Notamacropus eugenii: one gene and its partners. The protein of the gene in region 1 interacts with the protein of each later gene in a pairwise test. Links are inferred from orthologs where the notes say so. Each region holds a gene or a part of one and is shown on either strand. Other genes may lie near its edges.

The links. The genes of interacting proteins can lie anywhere in the genome.
Region 2: the proteins of VASP (region 1) and TRIM9 interact in binary tests that used the Homo sapiens proteins (3 or more experiments, as listed by UniProt). The two-hybrid records come from large-scale screens. The link is inferred for Notamacropus eugenii from reciprocal best matches to the Homo sapiens genes VASP and TRIM9.
Region 3: the proteins of VASP (region 1) and ZYX interact in binary tests that used the Homo sapiens proteins (3 or more experiments, as listed by UniProt). The link is inferred for Notamacropus eugenii from reciprocal best matches to the Homo sapiens genes VASP and ZYX.

Annotation. Positions count from the first base shown.
Region 1 is NW_027325105.1:117,306-126,888, forward strand, and holds the start of VASP (vasodilator-stimulated phosphoprotein), read left to right. Parts: upstream 1-5,249; 5' UTR 5,250-5,385; coding exon 5,386-5,390; intron 5,391-9,583. Other genes in the region: RTN2 (reticulon-2), read right to left, coding at 533-566. UniProt on the Homo sapiens protein: Ena/VASP proteins are actin-associated proteins involved in a range of processes dependent on cytoskeleton remodeling and cell polarity such as axon guidance, lamellipodial and filopodial dynamics, platelet activation and cell migration.
Region 2 is NC_092872.1:334,231,315-334,241,742, reverse strand, and holds the start of TRIM9 (E3 ubiquitin-protein ligase TRIM9), read left to right. Parts: upstream 1-6,465; 5' UTR 6,466-6,762; coding exon 6,763-7,584; intron 7,585-10,428. UniProt on the Homo sapiens protein: E3 ubiquitin-protein ligase which ubiquitinates itself in cooperation with an E2 enzyme UBE2D2/UBC4 and serves as a targeting signal for proteasomal degradation.
Region 3 is NC_092874.1:104,910,821-104,921,229, reverse strand, and holds the start of ZYX (zyxin), read left to right. Parts: upstream 1-6,446; 5' UTR 6,447-6,461; intron 6,462-6,839; 5' UTR 6,840-6,945; intron 6,946-7,114; 5' UTR 7,115-7,126; coding exon 7,127-7,334; intron 7,335-7,795; coding exon 7,796-7,986; intron 7,987-8,242; coding exon 8,243-8,335; intron 8,336-8,651; coding exon 8,652-9,149; intron 9,150-10,409. UniProt on the Homo sapiens protein: Adhesion plaque protein. Binds alpha-actinin and the CRP protein. Important for targeting TES and ENA/VASP family members to focal adhesions and for the formation of actin-rich structures.

The DNA of each region.
Region 1 (9,583 bases):
GGCGGTGTTGATGTGTGTGTGTGTGTGTGTGTGTGTGTGTGTGTGTGTGTGTGTGTGTGTATGTGTGTGTATGCTTGCACTTGTCTAAAGCTGGAAAGGTGTGGGCGGAGGAGACTGCCCCTTAGAGACGGTGGCCCGGGATTAGTCCCAGGGAGTCCTGGGAAAGGGAGAAGGGGGAGGGATGGGGCGGGGAATGGCAGTCTTCCCCTCCCCCATTTATCCTAGGCCTTTCCCTAGGATCAGCACCACGGCTCGGGGACAGCTCCGGGTCTCGCCAGGTCTCCCTCGGTCCCTTTCCGTTCTACTGGCTGGGCCTGGCTCTCAATAGCCCGTTCTGTTTAAAAATGGAAGGCGCTTAGAGATCATCGAGTCTAATCCTTTCATTTGACAAAGGGGGGAAACTGAGGCCCATGGAGAGCTACATTAGTTGGCTGTGGGATGGGGATTCTTTCTTTGTCCTTACCCCATCAACCCCGGGAATCCCCTCCCTTCTAGAATTGGCACCCCTACCCCAGGGACTGGGGGGACTCACTGCAGTGGGCGAAGACTGGCAGCACCTGGCCCATGGCCCCGCCCGGGCCCGCTCCGGCCGCGCCGCCCAGGGCCCGGGGCCCCTCGTGCTCATCGCCCCGGCACCGCCCCAGCCGCCGCCATCCGCAGACCGTCGCCGCCTCCCTCCCTCCCTCTCCTCGGGGTCTGGGCGGGCGGGGCCCCGAGCTGGGACCGAGGGGAGCGAAGAGAAGGGGGTGGGGGGACTGCAGCACGAGCCCCGGGCCGGAGGCGGGGCTTGGGCTGGGGGGCGTGAGCAAGCGCGCCTGCGCGAGTTTACAGACGGGCGAGGGGACTGGGGAAAATAAGGAGCCTGCGCGAGTCTGGAAGGGGTGGGGGAAGGGGCGGGCCCTGAGGGGGTGGAGCATAAGCCGGGGAGGGAGGGGGGGCCTGCCTAGGGGCGTGCACTGGAGGAGCCTGAAGCCAAACTAGGGAGAAAATGGGAAAAAAATACTAGGAAACCGTGCTAGGGCTGGACTAGGTGGGAGGAGGAGAGGCTCAGGGAGGGGAGGGGATCCTGACAGAAGGGCGGAGGACACAACTGGAGAGAAGTTTTGCCAGCTCCTAAGCCTTCTGAAACTCACCATTCTGGGTGTGGGAGGGGCTCGGGGATCTCGAGAGGCGTGGCATCGAGCACCAGCTTGGGAAGCCTGGGAAGACTGAATGTGGTGTGAACCAGAGTGAGCCGCCAGGGGGAGCTTACACACTTTCATTCATTGGTTAAACTTTTATTCGGGGCCTAATAGGATGCCCAGGGAATTGCACTAGGCGCTAGGGAAAATATCACGTTCAAATAAGATCCAGGTCCCTGCCTTAACGGAGCTTACTGTTTACTAGGGAGATAACTTTAATCTTCAACACCGCCTGATAAACGCAGGAGAAAAGGACAAAGTTCTAGGTGAGGTCCAGCGGGAGGTCTCTGATCATGTTGTGAGGGAGTCAATATGCTAAAAAGCCCTGAATTGGGAGTCACATGACCCACCTTCAAATCCTGCCCCTGTACATCTTATACAAATCATTTCACCTCCTTAAGTCTCAGTTCCTCCATTTGTAAAATGAGAGAGTGAGCTAAATGGCTTCTGAGGTCCCTTCTGCCTCTAGATCTTTGACTCCAGGAGAAAGGTTGATTCTGAGTCAGAATCTTATTCAGCTAGAATAATAGACTCTTTAAGTCAGAGACTCTTAGAACTGTACTTTCTTAAGTCAAAATAGAATTTTAAGCCTTTATGTTTACCTGAGACTTACCATGACTCCCCTCAGATAATACTTCCTCTAAAAGGCTTCCATGATCTCAGTTCTCCCCAGCTGAAAGTATTCCGATTCCTTGTATCATCTTCCTATTTTGTCGTTTTCTTTCCATTGATCTCACAACACGCCCTACCTTCTGATTCTTACTTCTATCACATATTAGAATGTAAGTAAACTCTTTGAGGGTAGGAAGTGAATCATTTCATTTTTTTTTAAATCATAGTATCATAGATTTAGAGCTGGAAGGAACTTTAGAAGTCACCCAGTCTAACCCATCATCCAAATGAAACCAAGACAAAGAGAGATCAAGTAGTTGCCCCAAGATCACAAGGCTAGTAGGGTTTGGAGGTGAGATTTACACTCCAGTCTGCCTCTGATGGCCCATCATGGCATGTAGGTTCCTCTGGGTTTTTGAAGGCACTTGGTCTCTAGAATTCTCTACCAAGCTGGAAAGGTTGAATAGTGTTGTGTGTAGATCATAGATTGAAGTTCTGTTGTCCGAGTCAATTAATGTAGCCCCTATTTCCTGCCTTTGTCAAGCCTAGCTCAATTTAGAGAGGTTCATTAGCAGCTTGACCACAAAGTGATGAGGATGACTCTACTGAAGTTATATAGAGGGGTTTATGAGCTGTGTGCCTAGAGCTAGGACTCACAGTGCTAAAATTACCTCCCTTGAAATGTTTGAATCCATGAAGTTGTAATTCCCTCAGAGCCCCTTGGTCTGGAACATAGTGGGCACTTAGTGTTTGTTTAATTGAACAGAATCTTAGACTTTAGGACCTTAGATTGATAGATTCATAAGATCTCAGAGGCATAGAATTTTAGGACAGTAGAAAGTTGGCCAAGAAATTTTTATTGACCACTTCCTATGTGCAAAGCCTAAATGAGGAAGTGTTCACATTTGGACACTTCAGAGGTTCCTTCTACCTCCAGTCTTCCCTTTCCCACCCTCCCCCAGAGCCCCTTGGCCTGGAACAACGTGATCCTGGAAGGGAAGAGAAAGCCCTAAGTTTCTTCATAACCAAGGTCAGCAGCCCTGAAGCAGAATCTTGCTGTTAACCACCTTAGACTGTGAACTCCTTGAGAAAAGTCTCTTTTCCCTTTCTGTCTTCCCAGCACTTAGGTACTTAATAAATGTTTATAAGGGAGTGACTCTTCCCTAGGCTCCCTGACTGCTGAGGACTGGAGCAGAGGAAAACTTACTTAGCTACCCACCTCCCCCCACCATGAGACTGACCAGTCTTGTGGAAATAAATATGATTAAGGATAAGGAGGGGACTTCCCCTTTTTCAAGTTCCCCTGAAGTTAGAACATTTGAAAGGAGGAGAAATGTGAACCCTTTAAAAAGGTACAGGGGAGGGAATCCTAGGACTCAGAATCAGGTGAAGAATTTTGGTTTTCTTAGAGTCCAGAGAGGGGAAAAGATTTACTAAAGGTCATGCAGCAAGTTAGGGTCATAGCTAGGATTAGAATCTTGACTTCTCTATCTTAGAGAGGCAGCTAGATATTAGAGTAGATAGATCACTGGATCTGAAGTCAGAAAGATGAGATCAAATCTATCTAACTAGCTACATGACTCTGGGCCAGCCACTTAATCCTTAACTTCAGTTTGCCTCAGTTTCCTCAACTGTAAAATGAAGATAATAACAGCCTCCACCTCACAGGGTTCTTGTGAGGATCAAATGAGACATCTGCAAAGCACTTAGTACAGTGCTAGGCATGATAAATGTTTAAATCCCTGCCTACCCACCCCCCTTCCCCTTAGAGAGAAGACAGCATTCAATATTCCCCAAATGCCCACTCAGCACTCTACAGAATGATCAGCTAGCAGAAACTTGTGGACCAAAGGAAACAGATCTCTGGCATGAAGAGGTATTCAGTAAATGTCTCCTAAAGTCCAGGGACTGTGCTAAGTTCTGGGGTCATCATAAGGAAACTGCATTCTGGTCAGAGAGTTTCCTACCCGGTAAAAAGTGGAAAAGGGAATGAAGAGGCCTGCTGCCTGAGGACCAGAGTAGGTCAGTTTGGAGAGATTCATGACCACCTCAGCCACAAGGTCAGGAAAACAGTCCTCACTATGGAGAGGATTGTGAGCTGTGTACCTGGAGCAAGGACTTGCAGGGGTGAAACCATATCCCTTGAGGTATTGAAGCACAGGAGATGTATATATCCTTAGGGTCCAATATAGGATCTTGAACATAGTGGGCACTCTAAGTTCCTGGGAAAAGGGGGAGCTGGAAGAGGTTCTATGGAAGAAGGGTTTGGGGAGGTCAGTAGCTTCATCCCTGAGGTCATTCATTACTTTGGGAAAGTTTTCCTTTCTTGAGCTTTGAGGGTGTCCACTGCTCACTCTCATGATCTCCTGGCTAAGAACTCGGGACAGACCTGGAAGGGCTCTTAAAATATGGACTATGGAATGATGGGGGAGGTCACCAGCTTAAAGCACTGACTCAGTGCCTGGCACACAGTAGGTGCTGAATAAATGCTCGTGACCTGACTGATTTTGCTCACGAAGAGATGATCCTGAGGTCCAGAGAGGGGCAGGGAACTGCTTGAAGTCATCTAGTGCATCGGCGATAGAACCCAAACCTTCCGCCTGACAATTCGAGACTTTTCTCCCAGAGTCCTCTGCACTCAGTCTTTATAAAGATGGGGAACTCCGAACCCCCAGGGAACTCCCAGCAGGCCAGAGCAGGAGGGAATGAACGCAAACTCACTACTTCTTTTTCGTCTTCTAACTGGCAGTTTGTGTATTTAACAAGGGTAGAGGGGGAAACCGAGGCACACTGGATGGGGGGAAGGGCTGAAGATGGAACCCCGGCGTCCCGCCCTTCTTCGCCCTCGCTTGTCTCTCAGTCTGTCTCTTAGTCATCCCGGTCCACACCTACTTCCTCCTCCTCACCTTCCCCAGAGGAGTGGGGGCGGGGCTGGCTCAGGTCAGGTGAAGGGAAGGGAGGGAGGGGGATGGGGGAGTGGATCTATCTACAGTTGATTGATCTCTGGACCCCCCCGGGCACCCATACCCAAAAAAAGTGTGGGGAAGGGAGATTGACCGGTGTGGATGGGGAGCCACCAAGGAGAAGTGCAAGGGGCAGCGGGCCGGGCTACCGGACGGCCGGAACCTTTAAGGCGCGAGGCATTGTGGGCGCCCCGACTGTGCGGAGCGGAATGGGCTGGGGGGGGAAAAAGGGGGGTAGTTGAGGAAGCAGGTTGGAATCTTGGAATGAAATGTAACCACAGGAGAAAAAGCGTAACGTTCTAGCAGCGGGCAGCTGCAGCAGCGGCTGCGTTGGCCAGGCGGGCGCATCTGACCGGGAGGGGCAGCACAAGGCAGGGGGCGGGGGCAGGGGGAGGGCCCGAGCACCCCCAACTAAGAAGGGGGCGGGACCCAGACCGAGTCCCCGCCCCCCCATTGCCCCCTCCCCCTCCCCCTCGAGGAGGAAGCTACAGCCCTCCACGGGGCGGGTCCGGCCCCAGATCTGACCAGAGCTCCGGGCCCCCCTGCCCTGCCCCTTCCCCGGAGCCTCCGGGTGTACCCCGGAGCCCGGGAGCCCAGTGCGGCCCAGACCGCCCCTCGAGAGCCCCGCCATGAGGTGAGAGATACTAGGGCGGGGTCTGGAAGCCGGGAGACTTTGGTGGGGAGGGTGCTTTGGGCCTGGGGACGCTGCCGGGATCCAGGGAGGCCGCCTCCTCAGCGTAACCCTGTGGCTGGTTACAGGGAGGGAGAGAGAAGGTTGGGGGAACCCAGGGCTCTGGGAAAGGAAGGGAAGGGGAGGCGAGGGGCGGACCTCTTTTCCCCTTCGCTACAAGAAGTATTTTTGGGGATCCCCCTTAACCAGCCCTCCACAACTTTTGAAAGGACTCCCCCTGAACCCTACCGTTCTGGAGACTAGGCGGGGGAGGGGAGAGGGGTGTGGTGTCCAGGGACTCCTTGGGAAAAGGAAGGATGATGACCAGACCGTTGCCCCTTCCCGTGCCAGGCTTTCTTCTGTGAGGTTCCGATTGTTTCTTCCACTGTCCTGTTTCCAGGAGTTCCGAGATCCGTTAACCACACAGTGGTTTTTGCTTTGGTCTGGTTTGGCTTTTTGAGAGGCAGCAAGTTTTGTCTTGGGCCCCTTCAAAACGAAGCTGACACCTTATACACCCCCCCCCCCAAACCTGGGCGGTGAATGATGCTCTCTTGCCTCCCCTCCGATTCTAGAGTCGACCCGGGTCAGTCTCTAACTATACTCCCCCCACCCCAAATGTGGGGTTTCCAAAACCTCGCCCCGCCTGTAAGCCTGTGAAGAGAATGAGATGCACTGGGGGAAAGGAAGGATGAGAGGTCCAACCACCCCTTTGACCTTTGGAAACCAAACCCCTTCACGCTCTATAGTCCTCAGTTTGCCGACGAGTCCTTATTTATGTACTGGAAAGTCTCTCTGCCCTGCCTCCAGGGACGCTGAGCCCTAACTTTTCTGGGGTTTGATCCTTGAGTCCTCACATCAGGGCTGTTGAAGCTCTTAATTCTTAGCCGTCCCTCCTGCTTAGAGAAGGCTTAGATAGACCCTTAGAGCTGGGGTGAAGCATTACCTGTCTCCACCCCCGACTCTCCCCACACACACAACTGAGTTTCCCGGAGGGAAGAGGTCTCTTGTTTACATTCCCCTTCCGCTATATCTTGAGGGGAGGGGGTGTTAGGGAAGTTATCCAGAGGGGTAATCAGCCTTTCCCCAGAGTCTCCACCCCTGACCCCTCCCCCAGATTCCCCTGGGAAGGAAACCAACTGCTGGAGAGATGGAGGAGGGGCAGAGGCGGCTTTTGTCTCCTGGGACTCACCTGTCCAAGAGGGAGGGATTCTTAACCCATGTTCCTTGTTGGGGGGGTGGGGTGAACGGGGAAGGGAGAGGGCACCTGGTTGGGGGGAGGGGAGAGCTGCACACCCACAGGGGATCTAGATGCTAGGGGTTTTCATAGATGTGTTATGTATGAGAGGGAAAATAAAGTGACAGGCCCCTCGCAAAAGAAACCTCTCGACTTATAACTTGCTTATGAGAGGACCACCCTCCTGGAGTACCGAGAAGACAGATACCTGAGCTAGGGAGAGAGATGTTGAGGAACGAGTCCTTTTCCAATCCCCTGGGAGCCGCTGCTACAATGCTATCGCTTTTCCAGCCCTGGGATTTCCGGACAGCCCCCACCCTACCCCCTTCTGCCGAAACTGGGGTTCAAACCCCAGAATTTAGCTCCAAGTGACTTTAACTCCTGCCAGGCCACAGTCCCACCACACCAGCTCTGCTGCAATTTAATTCATTAACCTCCTATTAATTTCCTGAGGCTGTAGGGTTAATCTGGAGACAGGGAAGGGATGGAAAGGGAATTTCCTCCCTCCCATTCCCCCCACTCCCCAGCGGTGGCCGGAAGTCTGTGGGGTAGTGGGACAGTTTGACTATGATACCAATTTCCTTCGGTTTCACCACTTTTCCGGGCTAAGGGGGTTGAAAGGGGGGGTCAGCTGAGGCGTGGGGATATGGGGGGAATCGGCGGCAGGAAAGACTTCGTGGAATGTTCTAAGCGTTCTAGCTGTCACGTTCTATCAACCTGATCTCCCGTTTGTTCTAAAGTCTTATATTCTATGGTTCAGAGGCTCAAATGCGAAACATTTTAAAGGTCCGATCACCTCTCCATCCCTAGCCCCAACTTCTAGATCCCAGGGAGAAGAGGAAGAGATACCCAGGGAAAGTTGGGGGTTAAGACCCTGGGGCAACAGTATGTAAGGGGATTCCGAATGACCCCCCTCCCCGGGAGCCTATGGGTGAGATTAGTGTTTCTAACTGGCCAGCTCCCCCTCTCAGCACCAATAAGACAGAAACATTTCCCCTTCCCCCCTCCGCCTTTTAGAGTTCGGTCCTGGCTCCTTATAAGTCTCCATTCAGCCTTCCTTCCTTCATGGGAGTCAGGGGAGGAGCACGGGACCCCTCCCCTTTCCATTCTCCGCCCTACCTCCTGCCCCAGGTCCCTCCTCCTCCCCCCTTTTCCGGTCCCTGGTACAAGAGGTGGAGAGGATTGAGGAGAAGGCGGACGTCCGAGTCCCCGCCTCCCCGCAGCCCCCCCCACCCCCCACCCCCGCCAACCCTAGCTCCCAGAGACCGTAAAAGGCCAGGGCTAAAGCTGCTCTCCCCCTTTCACCCTGCTTCTCTAGCTTGACTTCTCCCTCCCCTCAATCCAAGGCCTGAAAATTGAAGGTATAGCTCAGGAGCCTTAGAGAGTAACAGCACGCAGACCTATTCCCAACACCACTTTGCAGACGTACAAACTGAGGCCCAGGGACTTGCCCCAAGCTACACAGGAAGCCACAAGCAGAGATAAAGCTTGAAACCAAGCTAATAAAGATTAGAGAGAGGCCACTTGGTGTCAAGGAGTCCAGGACACAGAGAGTCTGTGACATCTGCCACCTCAGAGAGTCGCTGTTTCTTGCTTCCTCACATCTGTAAAGAGGGGAATTGGCCCAAATGACCTCTAAAGTTCCTTACTGCTTTGAAGCCTGTGATGCTGTGATGCACAGAGACCTGTCTTATCCATATTCTCCCTTCCTCCCTACCTAGGGTCTTCCCTAGATTTCCAGGATCCTTTTCACCTCAGTGGGAGAGCCAAGTGGAAAGAACACTTTAGAACTTGGTTTTGATAGGCCTGGGTTGAAATCCCAGCCACAATAGCCCTGTGACCTTGGGCAAGTGGCTTAACCTCTGTGGGTCTCACTTTCCTCATCTGTAAAACAAGGGTAATTAATCCACTAGATTCACTGGGGTCCTGGTGAGGAAAGCACCCAGTAAAACAGGGCCCTGGGGAAATTGTAGCTGCTGTTACCTCAAGAAACTGGGCGTGGCTAAGGGCCTCCAACTTCCTGGGGGTTATTTGAGGGGGCGGGTAACAGGATGGAAAGTCACAGGGTTTGTTTCTCAGTCCAGCTTGAGTGCCTACTGGCTGGCTTCCTCCAGGTCACAGACACTGGAGCCTACAGGGTAGTTACCAGGGAGTGGGGCATTCAGGCATTGGGGAATTTCCTCCTCTTTGATTTTCTATGTCTATGAGCCCCCCAGTCATACTGAATGTTGGATTCTAATTCTTCACCTCTCAGGATGTGGGGCTCATCTAGTTCAAACTTGGTCCTCATATAGGAATCTCCTCTCCAGCGTGATCTGTCCAGGTGATCAGCTACCTTCTCCTTGGACACTTCTACCTCCAAATGGGAAGGACTTCTGTATAATAAGACAAAGTACTAGGAGAGGGATTACAGACCCAGAGCTGGGAGGAATCTCCAAGACCAGCCAATCTAACCCCTTGGTTTTTACTGAGGCACAGAGGGGTTAAATGACCTTACCCTAGGGTCACACTGTAGTCATCAGAACCTAGCCAGGTCTTCTGACTCCAAAGCCAGCAATTGGGCTACTGGGAGGGGTGGGGAAGGGAGGAGAGGGAGAGAGAGAGAGACAGAGAGAGAAAAGGAGGGGAGAGAGATGCAGGGAGGAAAAGAAAGAGGGAGAGAAAGAATAAAGGGAGACAGAGAGGAGAAGAAAGAGGGGGAAGAGAAAGGGAAGAAGGAAGGAGAACAAAGAGCAGGAAAGGGAGAAAGAGAGGGAGGGAGGGAGGAAAATAAAAGGACAGAGGAAGGGATGGAGAGAGAAGGAGAGGGGGAGAAGATCTAGACTTGAGAGCTAGGACCTTTGAGTTCATTTGGTACAACTCTGTCATTTTACAAGTGAAAAATTGGTGGCTGAAGTTGTCTAGTTATCCTCAAATCCTAGGC
Region 2 (10,428 bases), on another chromosome or scaffold:
TTGATTGTCTAGACTTAAGAAAATAAATTTTAAAAAGTTAATAAGCAAATTAGACTTAAAAGTGTGTTATACTTCAATTGCGAAACATTTACCAGCCCTCCCTGCTCCCCCCCATTCCAGATGTTACTACCCTAGATAAAAACTCCAATTACCCTGCTCTCATAACTGCTCTGAATATAAGTATATCATGACCAAGGAAACTGTTAAAAAATTAATTGGAGCATTTGTCTCATATGGTTCCTATAAGAAATTAGCATTTCTAAAACATTTTGGATTGTGTTACCACTTCTTTCCATTTTTTTTCTTTGTTAAGCTGCTAGTTATCAATAAATTTTCAAAGAAAAAGTAGGCTACAAACAGAATGTATCCTAATGCTGTTTAAACTTCATTTCATAGATGTAACTAGGTTCCATGAGCAGCTTAATCAGTTAGCTACCTTTATTGCATAGCAATGACAATTCAGGTACTGGGTGACCCAGTGCTAGGGCTATTTAGAGAACTGCTCCAGAGTGTAAGATGTTTTGGAAATATTGATTTGCTTCTACTCTCCACTGAACTGGATTTCACTGAAATGAATTTCAGGAAATGAAGATACTGGATTATACATGTCTGCTTCACTTGTTTTTGTCTAACTTGACTTAAGAAAATGAAAATTTTATTATAAAGAAAATGATTATAAGGATTGATCTTTTCTGCGTTTATTAGGTATAACCATGTCTGTTTTTCCTTTGTGTTAGTTGCTATAAATTAATCTATCTACAAATATTAGTACAGCCATATAGTTTATTTCAAATCACTATCATGTGTCAATGAATTAAAACTCATCAACTTTTTACACTTATGAGTTAAAACATGATAATGAATGTTCATATTTATATACATAAAGATATGGATTCAATTTTCCTTATAAATTGTCACACTATTAGATGGAGATTTTTTCCTACATATAGTAATCAATAACATTGTGTTAAATGTTCAGACTGAAACAGAAAGATAGACTCTTTTTCTCAATGATTACTTTGATGTTAATATTATAAAAAGTATAATTTTCTAATTTTCAATGAGACAGCTATTATGTGCTTCCCTTTTTTTAATTTAACAAGACAACTACTAAGAACCATGAATTTTCCCCACTGAAACAGATATGGCTGTCAAGAGCAACAATTGGTATGAAGAAAAGAATGACTTGATCTATCACTCCACATCTTGGAAGATGAGATAACTTGATATTAAAAACATGCATTAAGAAAGTGTAGGCAGAGTAAAGATGGCAGAGCAGAAGAAGCACTACAGAAGAATTCTCAACATTCCTCTCCAAACAACTCTAAAATAACATTTCAAATTGAATTCTGGAGCAGCAGAGCTAACAAAAGGTCAGGGTGAGACTCTTTTCCCCAACACAAGACAACTGAGGAAGTTCAGGAGGAACACTGGGGTTGTCTGGAACACCTATAGCAGCACACCAGCTGTGGAACTTGGTGGTGGCAACAAGACCAGCAGCAGCAGTGTCCAGAGCTCTCAGCCCAGAAATGGTAAAGGAATTGGTCAGCTAGTCAGAAAGAGATTGTAGGTAACCCCTGTGTGCTAGCACTGGACACAGCATGGGACACTATTTGGCAATTCCATTGTCCAACTCCATTTCTGGGTTGCAGTTTCAAGGTGGAGAGAAATACTAGCACTTTTAGTCAAAAGAGAGCAGGGGCCTTGAACAGTGACAGCATTTCTAACTACAAAGGATTGATTAGAGACTCTACTTCTGTAAGTACTAGAGCAAAGACCAGCGGACCATACCTCTCCCCAGATCATACCACCTTGGGAGCACTGAAAACTTCCAAACTCCCCAAAATTGCTCTAAAACCAGTAGCGTGAAAATGCCTGAAGTTTGAGATAGTGCCTCCATTTATCCCTAGGTGAGGAGTCCAACTTTAATATGAAGTGTAAAATCAAGAAATAGGCTGGGAAAGTAAGTAAACAAACAAAAAAGAACCTAATCATAAAAAGACACAAACTCAGAAGAAGACAACTATGTCAAAACAACTACAAGCAAAGCCTCAAAGGAAAAAAATGCAAATTGGACATGAATTCAATAAAAATTCCTGGAAGAGTTAAAAGTTATTTTGGAAATCAAATAAGAGTATTAGTGGGCAACTGGGAGAAGAAATGAGGAAAATTCAAAAAAAAATAATCCCTACAAAAAGATAATAGCTTGGTAAAAGAGATATAAAAATACTGAAGAAAATAATGTCTTAAAAAACAGAATTGGTCAAATGGTATACATGGAACCTTCATGAAAATTAACTGGGTAAGAGGCATAAAAACTTCATGTACAAATGCAGAAAAGCAGAAAATATTAAATGCACCTCTTTCAAACCACAATACAATCAAAATTATATTCATTAAAAAGCATGGAAGTGCAAATTAAAAATTAATTGGAAAGCAAATAGGATAATCCTAAAGAATGACTGAGTTAAAGAAAAAATCATAGAAATAATAATATCATGAAAGATAATGACAAAAATGAACTCATATACCAATATTTGTGGGATACAGCTGAAGCAATGCTTAGGAGAAAACCAATCTCTAAATGTGTATATCAATAAAAGAGATAAAGATCAGATTAATGAAAAGGACAACTAAAGCCCCCAACAAATTAGAAATCCCCAATTAAAAACCAAAATGGAAATTCTGACAGTCAAAGGAGAGATGAATAAAAATGAAATTTAAAAATATTAAACTAATAAATAAAATGAGGAGCTAGTTTTAGGAGAAAACCCAATAAAACAATCAATTAATTTAACTTAAAAAAAGAAAGAAGACAACCAAATCACCAGTATCAAAAATGAAAAGGGTGAATGCACCACCAATGAAGATGAAATCAAAACAATTATTAGGAGTTATTTTGCCCAATTATATGCCAATAAAACTGACAATCTATGTGAGATGGATGAATATTTACAAAAAATATACATTGCCTAGATTAATAGAAGAGGAATAAGTTCTTAAATAACCCTAAATAACCCTATCTTAGAAAAAGAAATTGAACATCAATAAACTCTCTAAGAAAAGATTCCCAGGACCAGATGAATTTACAAGTGAATTTTACCAAACATTTAAGGAACAATTAATGCCAATGCTACATGAACTTTTTGACAAAAGAGATTAAAAAAGGAGTCTTACCAAATTATTTTTAAGACACAAATATGGTTATGATACCTAAACCAGGGAAAGCAGAAACAAAGAAAGAAAATATAGGCTGATTTCCCTAATGAATTTTGATACAAAAAAAATTGAATAAAATACTAACAAAGAAATTAAAGCAACATAGCTGAAAGATGATAAATGATGACAATGTGGGATTTATACCAGGAATGCAGGACTCATTCAAAATAGAAAAACTATAAGCTGACCATATCAACAACAAAAACCATATGAATAGATGCAGAAAAATTTTGACAAAATACAATATTCATTCCTATGAGAAACACAAGAAAACTCAGAAATAAACAGAGCTTTTCTTAAAAATATAAAACTAAGAGCAAACATTATTTGTAATTGCAATCAGGTAGGAGCCTCCCCAATAAGATTAAGGGTGAAACAAGGATATTCATTATTACTACCTTACAATATTGTACTAGAAATCACAATTATCGCAATAAGAAAAGAAAAAGAAATTTCAGGAATAGTAGTCGGTAATGCAGAAACAAAACTTCTACTCTTTGCAGATGGTACAACGGGATACTTAGTGAATCCTAAAAAATCAATGAAAAAGCTAGTTGAAAGAATGAACAACTTTAAGAAATTTGCAGGATATAAAATAAACCCACCTAAATCATCTACATTTCTATGTATTACCCAGCAGGAGGAGATAAAAAGAGAAATTATATGTAAAATAATATAATATATAACTATATTATATATTGTGTCATAATATGTAATGCAATATAATATATAATAAAATGTAATATAATATATAATAAAAAATAAAAATATAATTATAATTCTACATAAAATAATAATGATTGGGAGTCTACCTGCCAAAGCATATGCAATGAATATAAGAACAAAAAATACTTTTTAGACAAGGAGAGATATCTAAACAATTAGAGAAATATTAATTGCTCATGGGCAGACCAAGTCAATATAATGAAAATGACAATTCTACCTAAATTAATTTGCTCATTCAGTGGCATACCAACCAAGCTACCAAAAATTATTTTATAGAGCTAGAAAAAATAGTAACAATTCACCTGGAAGAACAAAAGATCATGAAAGAAGATCAATGAAAAATGTTAAGGAAGGTAGCCCAGCCATAGTAGGTTTCAAACTATTTAACAGAACAATAACCATGAAAATAATCTGGTACTGGCTAAGAAATAGACTGCTGGATGAGTGGAATTGTTTAGGTATACAATATACAGTAGTAAATGATCATAATAATCTAGTGTTTGATAAGCCAACCCAAAGATCCAAGCTCTATGAAACTATTCGACAAAAATTGCTGGGGAAAATGGAAAGTAGTTTGGAAGAAAGTAGACATAGGCCAACATCTTACACAGCATACCAAGAAAAGGTGAAAATGGGTACATGATTTAGGCTAAAGAGTGATATCATAAATAAATTAGGGAACATGGAGAAATTTACCTGTCAGTTCTATGGCTAAGGGAAAAGTTTAGGAACAAAAAAGAGATAAAGAGGATCACAAAAAAGTAAAATGAATAATTTTGATTACATGAAATAAAAAAGGTTTTGTACAAAGAAAACCAATGGAAACAAAATTAGAAAGAAAGCAGGAAACTAGGGAAGGGTGGAATTTTTACAGCAAGTTTCTCTAGTAAAGATCTCAATTCTCAAATGTATATGGAACTAACACATATTTATAAAAATAAGCTATTATCTAATTGATAAATGGTTAAAGGATATGAATAGGTAGTTTTCAGAAAAAAATCAAAGCTCTTCATAGTCACATAAAAATGATCCAAATCACTATTGAGAAATTTTAGAGAAATACAAATTAAAATAACTCCAAAGTTTGCCTCACATCTATCAGATCAGCTAACATGACTGAAAAGGAAAATGATAAATACTGGTGAGGATATGGAAAAATAGGGAACTGATGGAGTTGTGTTTTGGAGAATAATTTGGAACTATGCCTAATGGGTAATAAATCTGTGCATACCATTTGACTCAGCAATACTACTTTTAGACCTATATCCCAAAGAGATCACAGAAAAAGGAAAATGACTCATATGTACAAAATGTTTATGGCAGCTCCCTTGGTGCTGGCAAACAATTAGAAATTGAGAGGAGGTCCATCATTTGGGGAATGGCTAAACAAGTAAGGGTATATGATTGTGATGGAAAGCTATTGTATTATGAGATGCAGAATGATTTGAGAAAAAACTAAGAAGTCTTATATGGAATGATGCAAAGTGAAGTGAGCAAAATCAGGAGAACGTTGCATATAGTAACAACACTATTTTAAGGATGAGCAACTGTGAAATATAATTACTCTCATGAATGTAATGATGCAAGACAATTCCAAAGGACTCATGTTGAAAAAAGCTATCGAGTTTCAAAGAATCCTCATGAACTCTGAATACAGACTGAAGTATATATTTTTCACTTTATATTTTTTTTCCCCAACATAGCTAATATGGAAATGTTTTGCATGACCTCACATGGATATATTGCTTGCCTTCTCAGTGGATGAGAGGATTTGGAGAGAGGGAGAGAATTTGGAGCTCAAAATGTAAAATATTACAAATAAACTATAAAAATAAAAATGTGCATTGATAAGAAGAGTGATATTAAAAAGTGTCCCTCTGTCTCCCTGGTATGCTGCTCCTCAAACAACCACTTATTTTTGTCTGTCCTTGGTCTCTGTTGACTTCACTTTTCTCCCTCATTGAACTTAAAGACCTCATGTTCCTATGAGACCATCATGCTACATAATGCAGTGTGGAGAAACAGAGGACCCTTTCAAATTGATTGAATGAAAAATGGAATTGAGAAAGACGAACCAGAAACCTTTTAAGGACTGAAACGGAAAGTTTAAGACCTAAGGTAAAAAAAAAAAAAAATCCAAAGCTCAGTTCACTTCTGCCCCTGCTGGGAAATGAGCAGCTTGGTTATGGGCAGAAGACAGGGAAGAAATGGCTTACATAGTATTCTTGGAGAGCTGCTACAGTGGAAAGGTCATAGAAAGGAAGCATTCTTGGTAAGGGGAAAGGGGAGAATGGGTCGAGGGAGAATCTTTTGTCAGAATAACCTTTGGAGAAAGTCACCTGTCATCTGGAAGTGTTTTCTCACACCCCTTGCCCATGTAGACGGTAGGGAAGACTGGAACGCAAGAATAGCGAATTGTTTCCCAACACTACCGTACTCTATAGGGTGCTGAAGCGCAGACTCCTTAGTTCATCAACATCCCCCAACCCCCACCTCCCTGCCTGCTCCCCCAATCCCTTGCTATCTGCGGAGGCAAGTTGACTGAAAGGGACCGGAGCCAATGGTAGGTCTCGACCCACTCTCATTCCCCCAATTGGCCGGAGGAGAGGAGGTCCAGGCTGTCTGGCTCAGTTTTCTGCTAGCCAGAGTGACAGACTGCTGTAACCAGGGAAATCGGAAGGCAACTCTCTGCTTTTACCGCTGTTACTGCTGTTGCTGCAGGCCAAGGTGCTGGCCAAATCTAGCCTGTTAACTAGCGGGGACTACAGGTTTGAGGCACCAGTCTGTCGCCGCTTGGTTTATCAGCCCAGCCCTCCTATGGAAGAAATGGAAGAGGAGTTAAAATGTCCGGTGTGCGGTTCTTTCTATCGAGAGCCTATCATTCTGCCTTGCTCTCACAATTTGTGCCAAGCGTGTGCCCGCAATATCCTAGTTCAGACCCCGGAGTCTGAGTCACCCCAGAGCCGTCGGGCCTCGGGTTCTGGGGTCTCTGATTATGACTATCTGGACATGGATAAGATGAGTCTGTACAGCGAAGCGGACAGCGGCTACGGCTCCTATGCAGGTTTCGCCAGTGCCCCCACCACTCCCTGCCAGAAGTCTCCGAATGGAGTCCGAGTGTTTCCCCCGGCCATGCCACCCCCTGCGGCCCACTTGTCAGCATCTCTGGCCCCAGTGCCTCGCAACTCCTGCATCACTTGTCCACAGTGCCACCGTAGTCTGATCCTAGATGACCGGGGCTTGCGCGGCTTTCCTAAAAACCGCGTTCTGGAAGGGGTCATCGATCGCTATCAGCAGAGTAAAGCTGCGGCCCTCAAGTGCCAGCTCTGTGAAAAGGCGCCCAAGGAGGCTACAGTAATGTGCGAACAGTGCGATGTTTTCTATTGCGACCCATGTCGGCTCAGATGCCACCCGCCTAGGGGACCTCTGGCTAAACACCGACTGGTGCCCCCAGCCCAAGGCCGAGTTAGTCGGAGGCTGAGTCCCCGCAAAATTTCCACCTGCACAGATCACGAGCTGGAAAACCACAGTATGTATTGCGTCCAGTGCAAGATACCCGTGTGTTACCAGTGTTTAGAAGAGGGAAAACACTCTAGTCATGAAGTCAAGGCTTTGGGGGCTATGTGGAAACTGCACAAGGTGAGTCTTACTAAATCTCCTCCATCACACCGCCCCCCCCCCCTCCCCCAGTACTCCTTCCCCGTCCCGAGCCACAATTGCACTCCTTCCATCTGTACTAGGGTGTCTGTTTACACTAGGGTGTTCCCCTCTTTCAGACATAATACACCTCATTCAGACCTTATGGTCAGGAGGGGCAGTGCGGGGGACTATTTTCTTGCTTTGTCTGGTGCATTGCAGGAGATATGGTGCCCTTTAAAATTCAGTAGGGAACTGAATGCTTCAGAAGAGGGACTGGGAAAACTAAGTGGATGGTCTGAGGGACAATAATGTTCAAGGTCATCTCACTACCTGCACAAGTTGGCCTGCAGATTAGGGCTGTGGTCAGTTTTCCAGTGGAACGCGCTTAGTTGCAGGTAGAATCAGTGCTCCTAGCCAATGGTGAAAAACATCTGCAAGGATGAGATGTTTGTTTTAATTTGGTGGATGCACTAGATGCAAGACTTTATGCTCACACAGACCCATTGGGAAGTGGCAGTGTAAATCCGCCAAGCAGAGGAAAATGTGACCGCGCATGCGGTTGGCTTAGAAAGATCAGCTGGGGTTAGAGCTCCCTAGATCCTGGAATCTTTTTTTGGGTGGGTGGTTGCTGCAAATATGTCTAGTGTAAATGGAATATTGATGAACTAGAATTAGCTTCTAACCACATCACCTCATCCCTGTGTGTCACCTCATCTCAGTGTAACAACCAGAGTCATTGCATAGGTGGTAAAACTGCTGTTGCCTTAGGAACAGATGTTGCGTAGGTGGATATCCCCTCCTGCCTGCGTGGAGGGAACTAAGGCAGAAGTAACTTCAATTTGGCTTACCCTGGGGATCTGCCTCAACCTGGGAACTGCTGAGTACTGTACATCTTGCTAATGTACTTCAACAAAAGCCCCTAGAAACTCCTTGTAAAAGTCACCTTTTAACATGTTTAATCTTTCCAGTGTCTGAAGACTGAAAATCTCATTTGTTGATGTTGGAGGGGACACTGCTGTCAGTATCTTCCAAGAAAATCAGCATAAACTTGTGCTTTAATTTTATTTTTAAAATTTACATTATGGGAGATGTTAAGGAGAAAGCAAACACAGGATTAACTTTAGTGAATTTGAGGGCATACTTCCAATTGCTTTGTATTTAATTGCTTTGTATTTGTATAATTCACAAGAGTGAATTGGTGTGTTTGTCCTGCCACAGATACTCCAACAATTGCCATTTTCCTTTTTTTGTCATAGTTGTCAATCTACTAGTTCTGAGCTTGTTTTAATTTATTTTCTATAATTATTAGTGATTTGGAGTATTTTTTCACATATCTGTTAATAGCTTGTATTTCTTTTTTAAAAAACCATTCTTGCATTTTCACAATTTATATATTGGAGAATGCCTCTTGTTCTCATATATTTGAATCAATTCCTTATATATCTCCAATAGAACACTTATATTAAAGAAATTTGTTACAAAGATTTTTTTCCACAAAACTATTTCCCTTCAGATTTTACTTGCCTTGATTTCATTTGTCCAGAAAATGTTGAATTTCAAGTAATCAAAATTATCCATTTTATCTCCTGTGGCCTGTGTCATCAGGAACTTGAACTCATCCCCTATTCCTAGTAATCCCTAATTGTGAAAGGTGTCTCCTCCCTAGGTCCTTTAATTTGTTTATGGCATGACTATACTGACCTATCATATGTGTATACGTGATAGTATATGTCATGCATCAATTTGTAGCTTATTGTGGTAAAAACCACTTGATTTAGAATGACTTTGTTAGGCTTCTGGAAAGGTCTCTAACATTTTTTCTATACCTATAGCATTGGTGCTTAGTTTGGAAATGTTAAGGAAAGATTTGTATCCAAGCTTTCCAGTGATGTCTAAAATTTGAAAAGAAACAATTACTTTTCAAAAGCACTTTCTGTATATCTTTCTAAACTATAAAAGAATTATTTTAGCACAGTGTGTTTAGGTTTTCTATTGCACTAATCACAGATTAGTGGTATAAATTTAACTTAGTTACAGTATATAATTTTGCAATATGTTGCCATACCTCTTTGCTAATATTTTATTCACTGTATTTTGAATACTTAATATCTGCGTCAATATTCATTAGGGATAATGGTGAATAACTTTCTTTCCATAGTTTAGATCTAAAGATCATATTTCTAGCACTGAAGGAATTTGATGGAATCCCTTCTTTTCATAAGTTAGAAAACATATTTTGTAATGATGGAATTAATTATTTTTTGAATGTTTGATAGAATTTACTTGTAAATTCATCTGATCTTTTTTTCTTTCAGATTTATTGTTCAATTTATTTTTCTGAGATGGGATTATTTAAAATTTGATTTCTTGTTTTGCTAATCTGGATATTTTATGTTTCTGTAAATACTGATTTTTTAAATTACCAGTTTGATTGGTATATGATTGGGAAAATCTTTTCTAGTGGTTTATTTTTTCATTGGATATGGTTTCTCCATTTTAATTTTTTGATATTAGAAACTAGGTTTTTCTGTTTGTCAAATAAGGCTAGTTAGTGGAGTTTCTGTTTTCTTAGAATTATTAAAATTAATTTTTTTCCAACAGCAAAAAGTCCCTCTTACCTACCACTTGAGAATAAAAGAATAAAATTCCTCTTAGAAACATATAGTTATACACAGTCAAGGAAAAGAATGCATATACATATATCTATCTATCTATTTATATCTCTCTGTTTATGTATTTCATTAGGCACATCTATATATAGATTTGTGTGTGTATGTTTTGTTCTGCATTCTGAGTCTTTCAGGTATGAGGAAGTGGGCAGCATGTTTCATCATTATTCCTCTG
Region 3 (10,409 bases), on another chromosome or scaffold:
ATGATGGCATGCTTTCCTGAATTCTGCATAATGGAAGATGCTCTCATGCTTTCCCAGTAATCCAATGAAGTGAAGCAGGATTGTGTGCTTGTTCCCATGCTTTTTAGCATGGTGTTTTCATGGATGTGGTTGATGGCCTTCAATGAAGATGAAAATAGCATCAAAGTCAGCTACTACACTGATAGTAAATTATTTAACTTGGAAAGGCCACATGCCAATACTAAAATGGAAGGAGAGGTGGTGTGTGACTTTTTGTTCACAGATTGTGCACTCAGTGTAGGCTCTGAATCTGAGAAGCAACAAAGTATGGATTAATTCTCTGCTACTTGTACTAATTTTGGCCTAACAATTGACTTAAAAAAACCCAGAGAGTCTCCATCAATCAGCACTAAATCATACATATTTGGGACCATCAGTTACAGCAAATGGAGAAGTTTAGAATTCTATGGATAAGATACCTTGGCAATATACTTTCCAGGGATGCACATATAGATGATGAATTTGACATAGTGATAGCTCAGTGTTTGGGAGGCTCCTAAGAAAAGTGTGAGAGAGAAGAAATATTAGACTGCCTACCAAACTGAAGGTCTACAGAGCCATAGTGCTGACCTCTTCAACCTCATTATTGTATGCCTGTGAAACCTGGACAGTATACCAGTGCCATGCCAAGAAACTAAATTACTTCCATTTGAATTGTCTTAGGATGATTCTGAAGATCACCTGACAGGATAAGGTATCAGACACCCAGATCCTTTCTCAAGTTGAACTATTACACATTCAAACTCTGTTTCTAAGAGCATAACTCCAATGGGCTGACCACTTCGTTCAAATGCTAAAAGTAGTTTTGCCTATAGGTCAATTTTATGGAGAACTCACACAAAGCAAGCACTAACATGGAAGTCAGAAGAATCATACAAGGACATTCTCAAGATCTCTCTGAAGAACTTCGGAATCAATTGTGAGACATAGGTGACACTGGCACAGGACTGCCCAGAATGGCATGCTGGAATGAAAGAAGGTGCTATGCTCTATGAATGAAGCATAATTGCAGTAGCTCAAAAGAAATGTGAAATACACAAATTTGGAGACATCTCCATTCCAAATGTTCATGTGGACTTTTTGTGCCCAACCTGTGATAGGGCCTTCTGACTCATATTGTTCTGATTAACCATAGGCAGATACACTGTACCTTGACCCCAAGATAATGATATCATTTTGGTCCTCATGCATGAAAGACCCCATTTTTACATCTATGAATGTATGTATACGTATATATATATACACATACATACATATATATATACACTTACATACATACATATACTTGTATATATATGTAAAAATGGATAGAGAGAGGGTGAGAGAGATTCATTTAGAGGGAGTCCAAATTCCTTTCTATTATTAATATCTTCCCTTTTGATTCATTTGCTTGTGCTCAAGGTCTTTTAACTGAGTTTTCTTCCTCTTATGATCTTTTGTATTCCACTATCGTTTACTTTCTGACTCCTTTCCCTTTGAGTTTTCTTGCTTGCGGCCTCATTCTCTAACCTAGGGTTCCCTGAGGGACAGAACTGGTCACAATTATATACCAGGGCACTTTCCTTTAAACTTGGAGGAGCCCCACACATTTTGGTACCCTGTCTTAGTTACTTTTGTCTCTTAGTTCTTTGATTGAGCGATGTCACCGCATAGCAAGCTGCGTGCCACTTTCGTAGGCAGAGAAAGTTTCTGGCTTTTGGTTTTAATCAATGCAGGGAAAAGAGTAGAGCTAATTAAGTTCTGTTGCAAGCTCAAGTATTACCTTGTGCAGCCCTGCCAGAATATGGTAGCCTGGAATGGGGGTGGGGTTGGGATGGGGAAAAGGTGCTGAGTGAGACTCTTAGGGATTAGCCTCTGTTGTTTCTTCATCAGGTTATTACCTTATTAGGGTTCTTGGTGTCTTAGACCATGGAGACAGCTGAAAGTCACTTATCTCTTACATATAGTTCCTATTTTGGAGAGGTTTATGAGGATTGGAGGAAGTATTTAGTCTTCTGTTTTGTTGGTCATGTTACTCAGAAGTCCTGCTTTTTCTATTTCTATTATAAGCTCAAAACAGTGCTTAAGAAGATCAAAAACGGGAAAAGCAGATGGATTATAGAAGAGCTTGTGCTGAATATTGAACAATTGTGGTGCCATTGGTGGACTAATTACATTGCATCTAAAGAAGATACTAAAAATGTAGGGGGAAAATCTTGGACTTTATTAATACTGAAAAAAGCAACCAAGAGACCATCAGAAACTAATCACCTATATACCTACTCTCCCATTTATACAAAATCCTTTTGAAAATCACCTATATAGTAATTGAGAGCATCCTTAACAAGGGTATTCAGGTAGGGAAATGACTTTTAGAAGCAATCTTCAGCTATGGACCACACCTTTACTATTTCAAAATGAAAGATTAGAGAATGTTAAGGTCCCATTTTACCCATTATTTGTTAATTATAAAAAAAACAACAACATTTGATTCATATGAACAAAATGCTTCCTTGTATGCTTTTTTACAACAAAATATCTCCCATCCATACATTTGTAAAAATATATTCACTAAAGACTGTCCTTCAAGGAAATCTCAAGAAATAATATAATGACAAGATCCTGGTTTGTTGGCTAGTTGGTTGTTGTTCTTCATTCTTGAAGAGGACCAAAATGACGTCACTATGCTAGAGTCAAGTTACAGTGTGTCCAACTATGGCTGATCAGACCAATAGGAGCTCAAAATGTTCTACCACTGAATGGGCACAAATACGTTATGTGAACATTTGGGGTGAATTCTCTAAATCTGCGCATCTCACGTTTCTTTTGAGCTATTTCAATTCTTCTTTGCTCATAGAGCCCTGCACCTACTCTGATGAGGGCAGGCCATGCTGAACGGTCCTGTGCCAGTAGATCCCATGTCACACAATCAATGCCAAAGTTCTTAAGGACACCCTGAGATTGTCCTTGTAATGTTCTTCTGACCACCATGTGAACCTTTGCCCTATGTGAGTTCTCCATAAAATAGTCTTTTTGGCAAGTGTTCGTTTTGCATTTGAAGAAATTCTGAAGATCACCTGGCAGGATCCTAGCCTAAAAGAGGCAGTTAGATAGCAGAGCAGCTCTAGAGACCTGGACCTGAGGTCCGGAAGACTTATCTTCCTGAATTCAAATCTGGCCTCAGACACTTACTAGCTGTATGACCCTGGACAATTCACTTAACCCTGTTTGCTGTAGGTATTCATCTGTAAAATCAGCTGGAGAAGATTTTGGCAAACCACTTCAGTATCTTTGCCAACAAAACCCAAATAAGGTCTTGAAGAATTAGACCTGGTCTAAAGTCCTTGGCCTCTCCTTAACGAAAAACAAAATAAAACTTATTGGTCTCCCTGCTTTTGAAGGTGTGGTCAATGCAAAGGAATAAACACCCTATTCCAAAGTTCTTGGTTTCATTCTTATCAAAGATCTAATTGAGTCAATCAAATTTAGGAAGGAAACCTGAAACCTTGAAACTAAGATTAGGTTGGTGACCAAACTAGGAGCTTGAATATCTTTGTGTGTGTGTGTGTGTGTGTGTGTGTGTGTGTGTGTGTGTGTGTGTGTGTGTGTGTGTATGTATGTATATAAATATATACATATGAAATAAACATATAAAGAACTTTGAAAGAAAGGCATTCAGATGACTGGGGGAGTGGGATATACCTTTGCCCTTTCTCCCCTTCCATTCATTTGTATATGGGACCAAAAAGAACCTTGAGGTTGAGAAAATCAGGGAACTTTTGCTGAGAGGGAAGTCTTTAAAGTATTTCTGAAGTGGTGATGCTTGGCAGTTGGAATATAAACAGATGTTATAAGGGTTTTCTGATCCTAAATTAGATAGAAGTTTGGAAGAGACCTTGCTTTTGGTGAAGTTTGGGTTGAAAAATAGATTTAATGCCTTGTGTGTGTTCATCCTTCGTTGCCATCAGAGAAATAACGACATGACTTGCACTTGACTTTGTTTTGAGTGAGGAAGGGCTGTGTAGGTCACCAACCTCACTTCTCCTCCAGACCCCTCTGAATCCAGTGACCAGATATTCATCAGGATGACTGGAGATGACCCAGAATGAGGCAGTTGGGGTTAAGTGACTTGCCCAAGGTCACACAGCTAGTGAGTGTCAAGCGTCTGAGATGAGATTTGAACTCAGGTCTTCCTGACTCCTGCACTGGTACTCTATGCACTGCACCACCCAGCTGCCCCTTAATGTTTTGTGGGCAAAAATTAGCTAACTATTTTGTAAATCAAAAGGACTTTGCCTCTGAAAGAAAATCTTTGTCTCTGAAGAGGAAAGTCTATATCATGACCATGACTCTGAATACTACCAAACTAATCAATGGGAAGGAAAACAATTAGCAGTGATGTGATGTGATGGCTCTGCATTTCTAAAAGATGTGAAGCCTTTGGACTTTAAGCTAAAAGAGTCATGGTGGAGAGCCCACCCCTCTCCTTCTTACAGCAAGAGATAACACACTTCAGCTGATGATTCTAGCTGGTTAGAAATTAGTAATAGAACAAAGCTATCCAATCTTGTATCTGGTGGATCCATATTTGGCAGGAACCATGTAGACCAACAGAAGACCATATAGCAGAAGCCAAGCAAGATCAGTGGGGAGTATTCCTAGGTGGAGCAGCATGGTAACATCTCCAGAAGACATCAGCAGCCCTAGGTTTCAAAGGTGTGAGTTGCCCATCCCTGGGTATACCCTGCGAATAAGTGTTTTCTACATATGTGCCCCTCCATACATGTTTCCTAGTTGTAGTTCACCTCTTCCAGTGATGGTGTGTGTTTATAGAAGAGTGTTATTCAGTTTTATGGGGGAATTATTCTAACGTTATTTCTTCTTATGAGGCTAATTCATTAAATGCCTTTGCATTCATCTACTGTTGTCTGCTCACTAACTAGTAACAATTAACAAATTAGGGGATAATGAACTATGATCTGAGTGGATGTGGACTCTGAGTACCGGAGACCCAATTGTGAGTGGGGTACTGAGGTGTTACCTTAGTATTATATAATTCTTGTACATAACATAGCCTGTGTAGCTTATAAGCAACTTGAGGTCAGTGTTTGTATTGGTTTTCATCTTTGAAATCCAGTGTCTTGCGTTGCATAGATACTTAATAAATACATTTAAATTGACTTTTTATTAAATTGATGAGGAAGGTAGTGGAAATGAAAATAAGGGAGCATGTAGGAGAGGTAGAAGGAGCTTAGAATGTGAAATACTTGAACACAGAAACAGTCCCTTTTGCTTGTACAGTAGTTGTATCCTATATTGCTTAGCACAGGACCTGGCACATGATAAGTACTGAATAAATGCCAATTGACTTGATACTCTTCAAAAGAAGAAAGTACAGCATTTGATAATGAGGGATAGACTACAGATGCTTACAGCACTGGAAGTCCCCATCCACCACTTACTTACTAGGTGTTTGTGGAGGAAAAAGTGAGGCTGGTGACCTTGCATAGCACTCCCTCACTCGAATCAAAGTCAACTGCAAGTCAGGTCATCATTTCCCTGATGTCATGGTCCTCTTCGAAAATGAAGGACAAGCACAATAACTTAGGTGTATGACCCTAGACAAGGTATTTACTACCCTTATGGCCTAAAGACTCTTCCTCTTTAAAAAGAGGGGTTGAAGTAGATCTAAGGTCCCTTTCATTTATAGTTTTCTTATTCAATGACGCTAGTTAGGTTTTCTTTCTGGCGGAGGGGGGGTAGGAGTGTGGGGGTGTGTGGAGAGATGCACCCAAACTGAATTGGTTTTGGCTTTTGTGTGTGTAAAAATACCTTTCTGACCTCTCCATATTCTCCCCCCAAACCTTCAATAACTGAAAAGACCACACCCACCTCCACTTCCCTTCAGTTTCAGGCCAGCCCAGTGCATGCCTCTAGCAATTCTGAGTCTTAAATTCACTAGCCCAGAGGGGCTTTTGGGGTGGAGCTCTGGCTAACCCGGAGCTGCTGAAAAGACGTATTTTGAACTCGTAGCTCAAGAGCTAGAAACCTTTCCTGGACCCCTAGGGAAATAGGGTCTGGTGATTTAGCAGTCCTTCCTCATTTCACTGCCCCGGCGCCCTCGGTCCCCCCATTGAAACGTGTGGATTTTGTCTAAGCGTGTACGTGTTGGCGGCGGCCGTGGGGAGAGGGTGGGAGGTGTGTTTAGTGGCTAGGAGCGGGTCTACGTCCTTTCTCCCTAGAGTCTAGACCCAGAGCAGGCGGTAGGCGGGAATTCTTGGGGACCTGGGTGGAGGAGGAGAACGGGGGGCGGGGAGACAGGGCTGGGGGGGCTAAGAGAACAGCTGGTTTGGACTGGAAGACCAAGTCAGGGGCAAAGGCTGGATCTGCTCCTTCGGCCCCCAGCCCGACTTTGGCCGCACAAAGCCGAACGGGGGTGGGAGGTGAGGATGGGGGTGGGATGGGGGGAACTGGGACAGTGAGTCAGACCTCCGGGAAGGAGGAGGGGGCCGCTGTGTGTTGGGGGGAGGTCAGGAAATGACATCAGCGGAGCGTGTTTTGGGAGGGCCGGCCCGTCTCTGACTCTGTAGCCCGCGGGGAGGTTTGCTGGGAGGAGGATCTTCTCTGCTTTCCCTGGTCCTGGGCGTGATCTGGGCCCCTTCCTGGGGGAGTTTCCTGCTCTCCCACCCCCCAGCCCAGCCCAGCCACCTCGTCTCCCCAGTTCTCCCCGCCTCCTGGCTCCAGATCTCCCCGCCTCCTCTCTGGGCCGCTCCTTGTATGGTCTCCCTGCCTCTGTGTCTCCCCGCCCTCCTTCCCCCCAGTCAGAAGCCGCTCGGGACGCCCGGACGGACGGAGTCACAGCTGGGCTGGACGTCGCACTGACCACTGTTCCTTCGTGCTGGCGGAATAGACGGGCCGAGCCCCGCGGTGAGAGAGGATGGGGTAGAGGGGACAGGCGGCCCCGGCCGCAAGTTCAGGGTGGGGGGTGGGGGGGGCCTGCGGGCCCTTCCCTGTCCCGGGGCTGGGGGCTCCAGAGCGGGCGGGGAGAGCCATCCATTCATCCTTCTGTCCATGGTAACTGCGGCCCTTCCTCCAGCCCAGCCTCCGCATGGCGGCCCCCCGGCCCCCCCCTGTCATCTCCGTCTCGGTCTCGGCGCCCGCCTTCTATGCCCCGCAGAAGAAGTTTGCCCCGGTCGTGGCCCCCAAACCCAAAGTGAACCCTTTCCGGGCCGGGGCTTCGGAGAACCCGCCAGGGCCCGGGGCCCAGAGGGCTCAGATGGGCAAGGTGGGGGAGATTCCTCCCCCACCCCCGGAAGGTAAGGACTTTGTGGGGGGATGTCTGGAAGCCAAGGGGTGCAAGGGATCGAGGAGCTTGTGTGGGTAGGGGTGGGGAGGTGGAGAGGGTATCGGGCCACTCGGTCTGAGCAGATGTTCTTACCTCATCTTGCAGCCCGTGGCCCCGAGCCAGGACTCCTGGGTCCATTTCAAATTCCTGGCCCGGGGGTGGGTGTGAGCGAGAATGTGTGTGGGGCATGGCTCTTTGAGTTTGCTTGTTAAACTGAAAGGGGGAGTGAGTTCCCTTCTCAGCAGGACTTCCTGACTTAAAACATACCTTCTTAATGGAAAGAGATCTCTTTATGGGGTACTGGGATACCCAGGACTTCAGAGGCCTGAACAGGATGCCCAGTAAACCTTAGGTCTTACCTCATTCCTTACAGGCCCTCCCAGTACAACTGGAGGAGGGCCTTGTTGATGAATCTCTTTCTCCTGCCTCTAGATTTCCCTCTGCCACCACCTCCATTGCTACCTGGGGATGATGGAGAGGCTTCTTTGGGAGGGCCCTTTCCGCCACCCCCTCCTCCATTTGAGGAGCCATTCCCCCCTGCTCCAGAAGAAGAGACATTCCCTTCCCCTCCACCTCCTCTGGAAGAAGAAGTGGGGGTTGAACCTCCAGCACCAGCCCATCAGGTGAGTGAAGGGAAAAGAGCACTGGGCTGAAATGGATACTCCATAAAAGGGCTATAGAAGGAGGCCTACTGTTTCTGCCTGGCTTTCTCCACTTATGGGCAGGGAAATATTCAGTGGGGGCAGGGAACTTTAGGAAACTTCCATATAGCCCTATAGGCTGTGTAGGATTGAATATCCTTGGGGGAGGGGAGTCCTGAAACTCAGTGTACGATGTATAAAGAAGTCTGCCTGGGTCCTCAAATTCTTTACTCCTCAGCCTAGAGGAAAGGTGAGCAGCATTGACCTGGAGATGGATTCTCTGTCCTCCCTTTTGGATGACATGGCCCGGAATGATCCCTTCAAGCCCAGGGTGAGGGATGGGGTAGGGAAAGTGGGGGAGGTCAGGAATGTATGTGTGTGTTTGGGGGCTGTGTCTTTGTAGATAAAGTGAACCTACATAGGTGTGTGTGTGTGTGTGTGTGTGTGTGTGTGTGTGTGTGTGTGTGTGTGTGTGTGTGTGTGTGTGTGTATTTGTGTGTGTAGATAAAGTGAACCTGCATAGGTGTGTGTGGGGGGGCTGTGTCTTTGTAGATAAACACAGTGAACCTACATAGGGGTGTGTGTGTGATAGGATAGACAACACCTTCTTCTAACTTAGTTCTCCCCCTAACTCCTCTCCCCTGCAGGTTTCATCTGGATCTGTGCCTCCCCCAGCTGCCCCCCAATTCCCTCCCAAGCCTAAAGTCCCATCTGCAGCTTCTGGCACAGCACCTCTTCCTCCTTGGCTGGCTCCTACTAGCCCTCCTCAGTCCCACTCTGTATCTGTGTCTAAGACCTTAACCACACAGCCTCGAGGTCCCCCAGCTCCAGCTCCACCAGTGGCTCCAGCTCCACCAGTGGCTCCACCTCCAGCTGTAGCTCCATCTGCAGTTCCACCCCCACCCCCAGCCCCTACCTCTACCCCCAAGTTTAATGCTGTGGCCCCCAAGTTCACTCCTGTGACCCCTAAGTTTAGTCCTCCAGCACCTGGGGGTCCCCCTCACAAGAAGGTGGGTCCTTCACCCCCCACTGCTGCAGGGTCCCCTCAACAGCCTCAGCCTCCCAGCTTCACCTATGCTCAACAGAGAGAGAAGCCCCGTGTGCAGGAGAAACAACGTCCCGTCCCGCCTCCTGCCCAGGACCAGGTGAGGGGAAACTACAGGGGTCTGAAAATAGGAGCAAGAGGAGAGGCTAAGCATAAAGTCAGAGCTTTCTGGAACCCAAAGTTAGAATGAGAGTGGGTGAATTTCTTCTGTGTGGAGTAGTGAGGCAACCAAAGTGAAGAAGGGAAACAGCACCTCCAGAGGAGGGACCTGGAAGGGTCTGGGTGTTTGGGTGGGGTAGGGTTGGGAGTGGGTAAGTAAAAGCACTAAATTTAGAGAGGCCTGAATGCTTAGTGTTTTAGTGGGGCTCTGAACTAAGTTGCTTTACTCTGGGCCTGAACTCAAGACTTCATCTCTAGGTCAACATTTAGATACTTTTCCACTTAGTCCTTTTTGAGTTCTTCCCCTTTAACAATGGGAGGCTAAAGGAGGCTGATCAACTGACTTTCTCTTATCAGCTGTCCGCTTTGTTTCCTGAAAGAGCATTACTCACTTTGTGGGGGTTGGCCTGGGCCTTGGGAGCTTTCTAGCAATAGCATCATTATTATCAACATTTATTAAGTAGCTACTAAGGTAATGTGCCACATGCCAGAGATTGTTAGTAAATAAGACGTGGGCTGTTTTTGAGAGGATGCCCATCTAGTTGGGGAGAACAGGATGCATACATAAAAATGCTTAGCTCATACTTTCTGTCCTGTGTCAAATAGTATGGAAAATAAATCTGGAATGGAGAGAAATTCCCCAGGGCTGAGCCATTTGGGGAAGCCTTCATGAAAGAAGTAGAACCAGAGCTGAGCATTGAAGGAAGGATAGAACTTAGGTGGAAAGGAAGGTGAGGGCATCCTGAGCTCTAGGGAATGGGAATATGGGGCAGAGTGAATAGTGAGAGGAAAAGCATGGATGTAGGAATGTGTGTGAAATGTTACAGGAACAGGTTGGCTTTGAATTTAGCTAGATTGGAAAGTTATTAGCTTTGGGGAGTAGTGGGAGATAAGTTTGGAACAGTTGGTAGGGGACTGATTAGATGTTCAACCTTTCTAATATTTTTCTGTAGGCAAAGGGAAGGTTTTTGATATGTGCGAAATAACATTTTAGGAAGATTGATTGAGAAGACATTCATAGGATAGGTTGTGGGGAGAGACTTGTTAGGAGACTGTTGTGTTATTTCAGGATTGAGGTACCTAGCAGGGCAGTGGGAAAGAAGGGGAGGATGGAGGTGAGAAATAAGAATTAACAGGTGCTGGTGACTTGATATGGGAGGAGTGGGAGGGATGACTTCAAGGCTTTCAGTGTAGATGACTG